Linked DNA regions of Cricetulus griseus. The protein of the gene in region 1 interacts with the protein of each later gene in a pairwise test. Links are inferred from orthologs where the notes say so. Each region holds a gene or a part of one and is shown in the gene's direction. Other genes may lie near its edges. The genes, in order: Qrich1 and Hspb8.

What was found.
Region 2: the proteins of Qrich1 (region 1) and Hspb8 interact in binary tests that used the Homo sapiens proteins (3 or more experiments, as listed by UniProt). The two-hybrid records come from large-scale screens. The link is inferred for Cricetulus griseus from reciprocal best matches to the Homo sapiens genes QRICH1 and HSPB8.

Annotation. Positions count from the first base shown.
Region 1 is NC_048597.1:216,700,074-216,703,980, forward strand, and holds the start of Qrich1 (glutamine-rich protein 1), read left to right. Parts: upstream 1-1,515; 5' UTR 1,516-1,710; intron 1,711-2,465; 5' UTR 2,466-2,525; intron 2,526-3,907. UniProt on the Homo sapiens protein: Transcriptional regulator that acts as a mediator of the integrated stress response (ISR) through transcriptional control of protein homeostasis under conditions of ER stress.
Region 2 is NC_048597.1:96,474,206-96,478,112, reverse strand, and holds the start of Hspb8 (heat shock protein beta-8), read left to right. Parts: upstream 1-1,663; 5' UTR 1,664-2,190; coding exon 2,191-2,557; intron 2,558-3,907. UniProt on the Homo sapiens protein: Involved in the chaperone-assisted selective autophagy (CASA), a crucial process for protein quality control, particularly in mechanical strained cells and tissues such as muscle. Displays temperature-dependent chaperone activity.

The DNA of each region.
Region 1 (3,907 bases):
AGAAAGGCATGACCCCAGGATGATCATTCAGAAAAAAGGCAGCTACTGCTGGAGAACAGTGAGATCAAGCATAAGTGCTGCTGTGGCCTTGTAAGTTTAGAAACCCAAGTCTCCCTGGATGTCTATGCGGGGCTGAGTGAGGTTCCTGACCAGGCTGGACTTCAGCTCAGAAAATGACTTGTGAGGAGTGTTAGGTTGGAGTTTGCCGGGTCAGGGACAAGTGCAGAAGGCAGAAAGGATCGACCACAGGCTGACTGTTGCCTGGGTTGGTGCGAGCTGCTGGTGAGGCTGTAGGTGAGCGCCTGCAGCTTTAAAGCTTTCCACATTTTCCCTGTATACAAACACGAGGCTGCCCAGGGCCCGCTTTAAGGTGGACCTGACTGTGGCAGACTGATGGCAGATGGGAGCCGACGGTGCGCGTTCCAGAAGCTGTTTTCTCCAGAGCAGCAGCAGCCCCGAGCGTTTTCCAGGGGCGGCACAACTGTTAAGCCTGGGCCCAGCCTTGCGGTTTGGGGGGCCACCTTAACCACGAGGCCGAGGTAGGCCGGGCCACGCCTCGCGCGGAACCGTGCGGCCAGGGGAGGCGCACGCGGGACGCCGTAGGTGTGTTCAAGAAGCGCGCTCCTAGACCTCGGGCAGGAGCAAAATAACCCCGGGGCGTCGAACCCCGGGCCTAAGCCCCTCCCCGCCATGCAGGGGCGTCCGTGGGCGTGGCGCTCCTTCGGACAATCAGGGATGCACGCTCCGCGCCACCAGCCTCCCTCTCGGGCAGAAGCGTTCCCTTTAAGTCCGACCGGCAACTCTCGCGGGATCCGACGCCTAGATTCTCGCGAGAGGGGCACTCAGCTCCCATTGGTTGTGAGGGTTGAATGTAAGATGGCGCCCAGGGAGCTGTGAGGAGAAAATCCTGTCGGTCTTGGAGCGGCGACGGCAGAACCGAGGCCCCGGGCGGTGGAGCGGGGCCGGCGGGTAGCGCGGAGGCGGCGGGCGGTGGCGTCGTGGCGGGTGAGGGCTCTGGCGGGGCGGGGAAGCAGGGAGGGCTGTGGCCCGGGGCGGCGGGCCCACTCCACACAACGGCGAGCGGGCGGCGGGCGAGCGGGCGGGCGGGCGGCGCTGCCGCTGGCCCCGGCGGCTTGGGAAGAGAGCGTCCGGGCTCGCGCGCGGGCGGGGGCGGGGAGGCGCGCGCACGAGAGCGCGCGGCGGCGGCGGGCGAGCGGGCGCGCGCACGAGAGCGCGTGTGGTTTTTTTTTTTTGCTCGCGGTAACGCGCGCGCTGTGCGGTCCTCCCGTTGCGCGTAGCCGCTCGACGTGCGCGTCCCCGCTGACTCTCCGCCGCGGCCCGTGGGCTAGAGCGGCTTCCGGGGCGCGCGCGCGCGTCTTGGCGACCCCCGGCTGTGCGGCGCGCGCCCTGCTGTTGGTCGGTCGCGCTGTCCCGTCCGGGGCCCCGGGTGCGCGCAGGGCAGGGCGCCCCTTGTGAAGCGAGGGCCGGCCGGCCGGCAGGCAGCCTGGGGGACGACCGACTCGCTGCGCGGGGAAGGCGGAGGGCCGGGCCCTTCCCGCTCTGGTGACGTCCGGGGCAGCCGCGGCCGAGGTCTGCAGAGGGACGTAGCGGCTTCGCCGTCCGGCTCGCGGCTCCGCGCCGCTGTGAGGCTGACGAGACCGCTCGTACCAACCGAAGAATGCGCCTGTCTAAGCGAGGCCCGTGTACTGGGTGGGCGCTCGGGGAGGGTGCCGCCCGGCTTCGGAAGCCCAGTCCTGCGGGTCCCCTCGGGGTTTCACCTTGTGCTGGTGCCTTGTGCCAAGCAGAGAAGGGGGACCTCACAGGGCCCCTCGTTAGTACCTGCTTCTCTTCCCTCAGAAACCCACTCGTCCATAAGCGCAGTTGATACACGTCACCTCTGCGTGCTCCTGAAAGAGATCTTGTAATGTGTGTGGTACCAAACTCTCTGAGCTCTAAAAAATTCCGCTTTAGACCCTTAGATGCTGCCCCCCACGCCCCCGCCCGGGTGGGAGGGCCTTGCTTTTCAGTGTGGAATAAGGGCCGCTTCTTCACATTGATAAACTCGATCAATGATCTGCCTTTTTTTTTTCTTTTTAATTTCTAAAGTATCCGGCAGAAATTACTAAAATCTGCCCGTGTCACGGTAAAAACCAAGTGACCGTTATAACTCCTTAGCTTTTCTTTTTTTTTTTTTTTTTTTGTCCCAGCGCTGTGATCTGGTGTCAAGGAAATTCTAGGTTTGTGAAGGAGAAATATGCACCTCTTTTCCAACACAAAACATCTGCTAGTTTATTAGACAGCTTTGCTCTGCTAAGGTAGAGGAAAAGCAAGCTAAAGGGAGTAATAGTAGAAATCAAATTTGATAGTAATGTTTTTTTTTAATACAATGTATTTTTTTAAGAACAAAGTTAAAACTTAAAAAGAGGCTGAGGATGGAAGGAACTTCTTTGTTCTGTCTTCTTCAGAATGTTAGAAGTCTTAAGAACTCAGGACAAGCTGCAGACATACATGCAACATGGTGACTGGTGAGTTAAAATCATTCATATGCTGGAAGTATGTGTGCAGTCCGTTACCCCTTCCTCCCTTGGTAATACTGCAGCTTTACAAATCCTGTCATTCATTCTTGGTGTTGTCTGCTAGAAACCACTAGCTAGCTACTAGAGGGCTGCAGATGTGGGAAACTGTTGCTTGGACGATGGTCCCTTAAAAATCTAAATAGACGAGCATGCAGGATTAACATTACATTACAAAGCATCAAGTAAGAACCTAAATTTTTGGGGGTTTTTGTCTTTTTTTTTTTTTTTTTTTTTTTTTTTTTTTTGTTTTGTTTTTTGAGACAGGGTTTCTCTGTTTATTTCTGGCTGTCCTGGAACTCGTTCTGTAGACCAGGCTGGCCTGGAACTCAGCGATTCTCCTGTGTCTTCGTGTGTGCTGGGATTAAAGGCACGCTTTGTCTGCAAGTACATCCGCACATCAGAAGAGGATATTAGACAGTTGTGAGCTGCTATGCCGGTGCTGGGAATTGAACTCAGGATCTTAGGAAGAGCAATGAGTACTCTTAACCACTGAGCTATCTTTCCAGCTCCCTAAATGGTTTTTCAAACAAAAAACAAAACAAAACCAAAAATTGTCTGATTTATTGAGGATGTGTTTATAAACTTTTTGTACCTTTTAAGCTTACTTACTCTGGATTATCTTTTTTAAAATTCCATCAACTATTATTACCTGGTAGATACCTTTTAGTCCTCTGGGATAAGCTTTTCTATTTCTCCAAGAACTTACACAGTTCTGTATCTCCTTACAAAAGCTTATGTTGATGTTGTAGCTCCAAACAAAAGCTCAAAAAGTGGTTGAATTCTGCTGTGAATTTAAGTTACTTGCAAAAACAAAAACAACACAAATCAAAACCCAGTTAGGGACTTTGGGTGGGGCTGTTCTTTTTTAACAGCAGCTTCAAAATCAAGGGTGTCTTCTGTGAGCTTGCATGCTTTTAGTCAATAGTGGTTTGTACTTGATGTGCCATGCTTCTTACTTCTCTGCTGTTTAAATGGCCATGCTTTATCTCTCTGACTTAGAATGAGGTATTACCTTTTCTTTGCCCCTCCTGCATTTGGTCCCAGGTGTAAGTCCTCTGAGCTTCAAATTTTCCCCTATAAGATTTGATTGTGATTTCTGTTTTTTAGTAGGCTTTTGTCTGTCTGTTTTCGTTGTTTGGTGCAGGGGCTTGAACCTAGAGTCTGCATATGCTGAGCACGCACTTAACACTAAACTACTTCTCTGGCTCTGGGTTGTGATTTGTCTTACTAAGCTGACTTGACTGCATGAAGAGAGAAGATGTGAATTTTTGTTTCCTTTAAACGGGAAAGGAATGGTTCTTTGGACCCACTTAGAAAGTTGATCTTTTTCT
Region 2 (3,907 bases), about 120 Mb from region 1:
ATAAGGAAGTAAAAGGGTTTCTCTACCTGCTTCTCTACCTTTGTGTGTGTGTGTGTGTGTAAATATATATATATATATATATATATGTGTGTGTGTGTGTGTGTGTGTGTGTGTGTGTGTATATATATATATATATTACAGACTAAGATCCCATATGAGGGATATCATAGTAGGACAACATAGTAACCTTTAGAAAGGACACCAAGAGGGGACTTATTAGGTGATAGAGAAGGAATGCAAGAAAAGGACACACGAGTCATGAAAGAGGCTAGAAAGCAATAGTTTGTGACTGTTTTGTTGTTGTTTGTTCTGTGTGGTGGATATGTGACTAGAAATGTAACTGAGTGAGTGAGGACATAAAACATGAAGCTCCAGTACTTGGGCACGGCCATCTGTATAGAGGTTCACTCTGAGATGGGGACAGGGCAGGTGTCCAGGTGGCTAGCTTAAACCAGCTGTGCGATGTCTTTATTTGTGAACCCATCACAATAAAGTGATTTTATGGAAGGAGAGGGTTAGGATGCAGCTATCCAGCTTGTGTAAGGCTGAGTTCTGCCTCCAGTACCACAGTCAATCAATAAAAGTTTTTTAAAAAGTTATGACTTATGATGGTTTGCTCTGCTGCCAAACAGGACAGTAGTAGAGCCCTTAGCTATCTGTGTGGTGGTGGGTGGGGGAGGTTCCACCGGCTAATGTTTATGAAGTGCTTAAGAGAAAACATTACACAACTGATAAGTTGAAAGTTGAAAGCCTATGAACACAGATCCTTCTACCAAGTATGTGACATCATGCATTCCTGATGACGCATCCCCAAGTAGGCTCCTCTCCTGCCCATTTCGCAGGTGGGAAACAAGCAGCTCAGGCATGCCTGGGAGTAATGTTACCACTGAGCAACACTCTTCCCTTGACCAAACGTCAGCCAGACTCCTCCTCAGAGGGAGGGCCAGGCGTTCATTGCCTTCACCTACTTTTAACAAGAACATGTCAGTTTAGCCACAACCCCCACGGTTCCCTATATGACCACCCCTCCACCCCCATGCCAGATCAATTGCTTTTCCTCTTCTAGTTTTCAGGTGAGGTCTGGCCACCCCAGCCTATCCTTAGAGGAATGCAGTTAGGTCAGTTTATCCAGAATCCCTCAGACCCCTGGATCCCCCTCAGTCATTTCTCATACATTGACCCCCATTCTGCCTCCAGGCAGTGTTGGGAGTTGAGCCCAATTTCTTCTCTTGCTCCAAGACCTTCCTATCCCAATAGACACTCTGTCAGGTTTTTTTTTTTTATATGACTTAACAAGTGTCATTAAAGAAAAATCATGATATGTTGTTGTTGGTCACTCTCAGAAGTCGGAGATACCTTTGGTCAAACTGTAAGTGGGGATTCCATCTACTTTTCAATCTAATGGGCCGATGTCTCTCTTCTTCTGTGGGTCCCCAGGGTGGGAGGCAAGATAGAACATGTTCTGGGGATGGTATTTCCAGAGTATGACCTGAACACTCAGCCAGGCGGAGGGTTATTAATAGTCTGGCTTTAGTGCCCTGTGGGACACTAGTGCCTGGAGTGGACGCTGCTGGAGTCAGAGGGAGGGCGGGGCGGAGCTGAGTACGGGGAGGAGAGAGTGCGGGAGAGGCTGGCTAGACTCGGACGCCACGGCCCCTCCCAGCTCTCCACCCGCTCCCGGAGCCCAGTTGTTCTCTCAGCGGATTCTCAGGGGCTGGTTCATCACCTTCGAATACTCCTGGGACAGGAGGTGCTTGCAAAACCCGCCCCCAGCCCCCAGCAGCAAATAAATACAAGGCTCCCAGCCCAGAAGCCAGGAGAAGTTTCTAGGCGCACGTCCCTGAGGTTTATTAAACTCCTGGCTGTGCTCAAGACCTCAGCAGCGGCCCTGGCTGGGAGCCTGGGAAGCCTGGGAGGCGGGTGACTTGCTGATAGCCTGGTGAGGTGGGACAGACAGAGGCCCTTTGGGATTCTGCTGGGCCTGCTTGGTGGGTCACATTTGTGAGCCAGGATCCCAGCTCCCTTCTGGGCAGCGGATGGTTGGGCTTGTGGCTAACAGAAGATCAGAATTTTCTGAAGCGGAGGACTAAACTCTGAAAACCATCTCAAGCCACATCACCTTGCTGTGTGATCTTGGGTAGGTGGCTCTGTCTCTCTGAGCCTCTATTTCCCCTCAGCTCAGCAGACACCATGGCTGATGGGCAGTTGCCTTTCCCGTGCTCCTACCCAAGCCGCTTGCGCAGAGACCCCTTCCGGGACTCACCGCTCTCTTCCCGCCTGCTGGACGATGGCTTTGGCATGGACCCCTTCCCAGATGACTTGACAGCCCCTTGGCCTGATTGGGCTTTGCCTCGGCTCTCATCTGCCTGGCCCGGAACCCTAAGATCCGGCATGGTGCCCCGGGGGCCTACAGCCACAGCCAGGTTTGGAGTGCCTGCTGAGGGCAGGAGCCCCCCACCCTTCCCCGGGGAGCCCTGGAAAGTGTGTGTCAACGTGCACAGCTTCAAACCTGAAGAGCTGATGGTGAAGACCAAGGATGGATACGTAGAGGTGTCAGGTGAGTGAGGGACAGACAGCCAGGGCGTGTGTGTGTGTGTGTGTGTGTGTGTGTGTGTGTGTGTGTGTGTGTGTTCAACCTAGACGCAACTTCAGTAAAAGGGACCTGTGACAGACAACGTGGCACAGGTGACCTCAGGTCTCAGGAATGCAGCCCACAATGTTATCATTAGAGACACGTGCTTCTCAATGGGGGACAGAAAGAGAATGAATGTGACCCAGTAGCTGGGGTCCTCAGGGCATGGTGCCCACCTGAGAGAACTGGCAGGGACCAGATTGGCAATTTTGAAGTAGACAGTTTAATATGAAGAATAGATTGATTCGTGGAGGACTTCTGAAGACACAGGAACAGGGGTTACCATACCCCAAAGCCACAACACTGGGGTCGGGGGAGTGGGGCAGGATGAATGCTGAGTCGCCATGCTATCAACAAGAGTAGGAAACTGAGGCTGGATGGTTATGACAGCACTACAGCTGCTAACCTTGGTAAAGAGGTGTCTGCCTGGTACCAGAAGCCAGAAACCCAGCATCAGGTAGCACCTGTGTTAATATAGCCAGAGGAGGTGGCTGCATTAACTGTCCACCTGTCCCCTTTGGACTTAGGAAATGGAGGTCAGCAGAGTCTAGCATAATTTGCTCAAGGTAGCAAAGGGTTCCAACCCAGGCTGCCTTGGGAACTGAGGGACAGAAGGGATCTATCTAGCCATCTATTTATTTATTTGTTTGCTTATTTATTTATTCGTTTGAGCCAAGTTTCTAAGCTGAGTTATAAAAACACACAAATTAACCCTACTACCACCAGCACCAGCAACAACAAGAAAAACCAGTTAAAAATCAACTTCCTGTGACCCTTCATCCCCTGACTATCTACTCCCATCTTGCAGCTGAGGAGGCCTTGTCCCAGGTCATCCAGTGAGTCAGCAAAAGGACCAGAGCAGAGCTTAGGCCTGGCCACAGCGTCAGGCCCAGGGCTTTCCCTACCCCATTGCACTCTGGGAGAACGAATCCGCTGGGGGGAAAAGACAGAGGAGACAGGAAGCCTGGCCCCTGGTGAGATGGGCCTCAGCTTTCTGCCTCCCTTCCAATTAACAGGCCATTAAAAAGAACTTGTTCCTGGCAGGGGCCTGAAGCCAGAAAATCAATAGCAAGCCTGCTGTAAGCACTAGCTGAGCAGAGACAAGCCCCAGCAGTGTTCAAGGGGGCCTGGAGGGTGGGGGTGGATTAAAGTCACTTGGAATAGAATTGTGAACATCAAAGGTTGTGAGTGTGGGTGTGGTGGGGCAGGCACACCGGGGCACGTGCTGACGTGGGTGTGGGCTCGGCACTGGCTGGTGAGCCAACACTAGCTCGG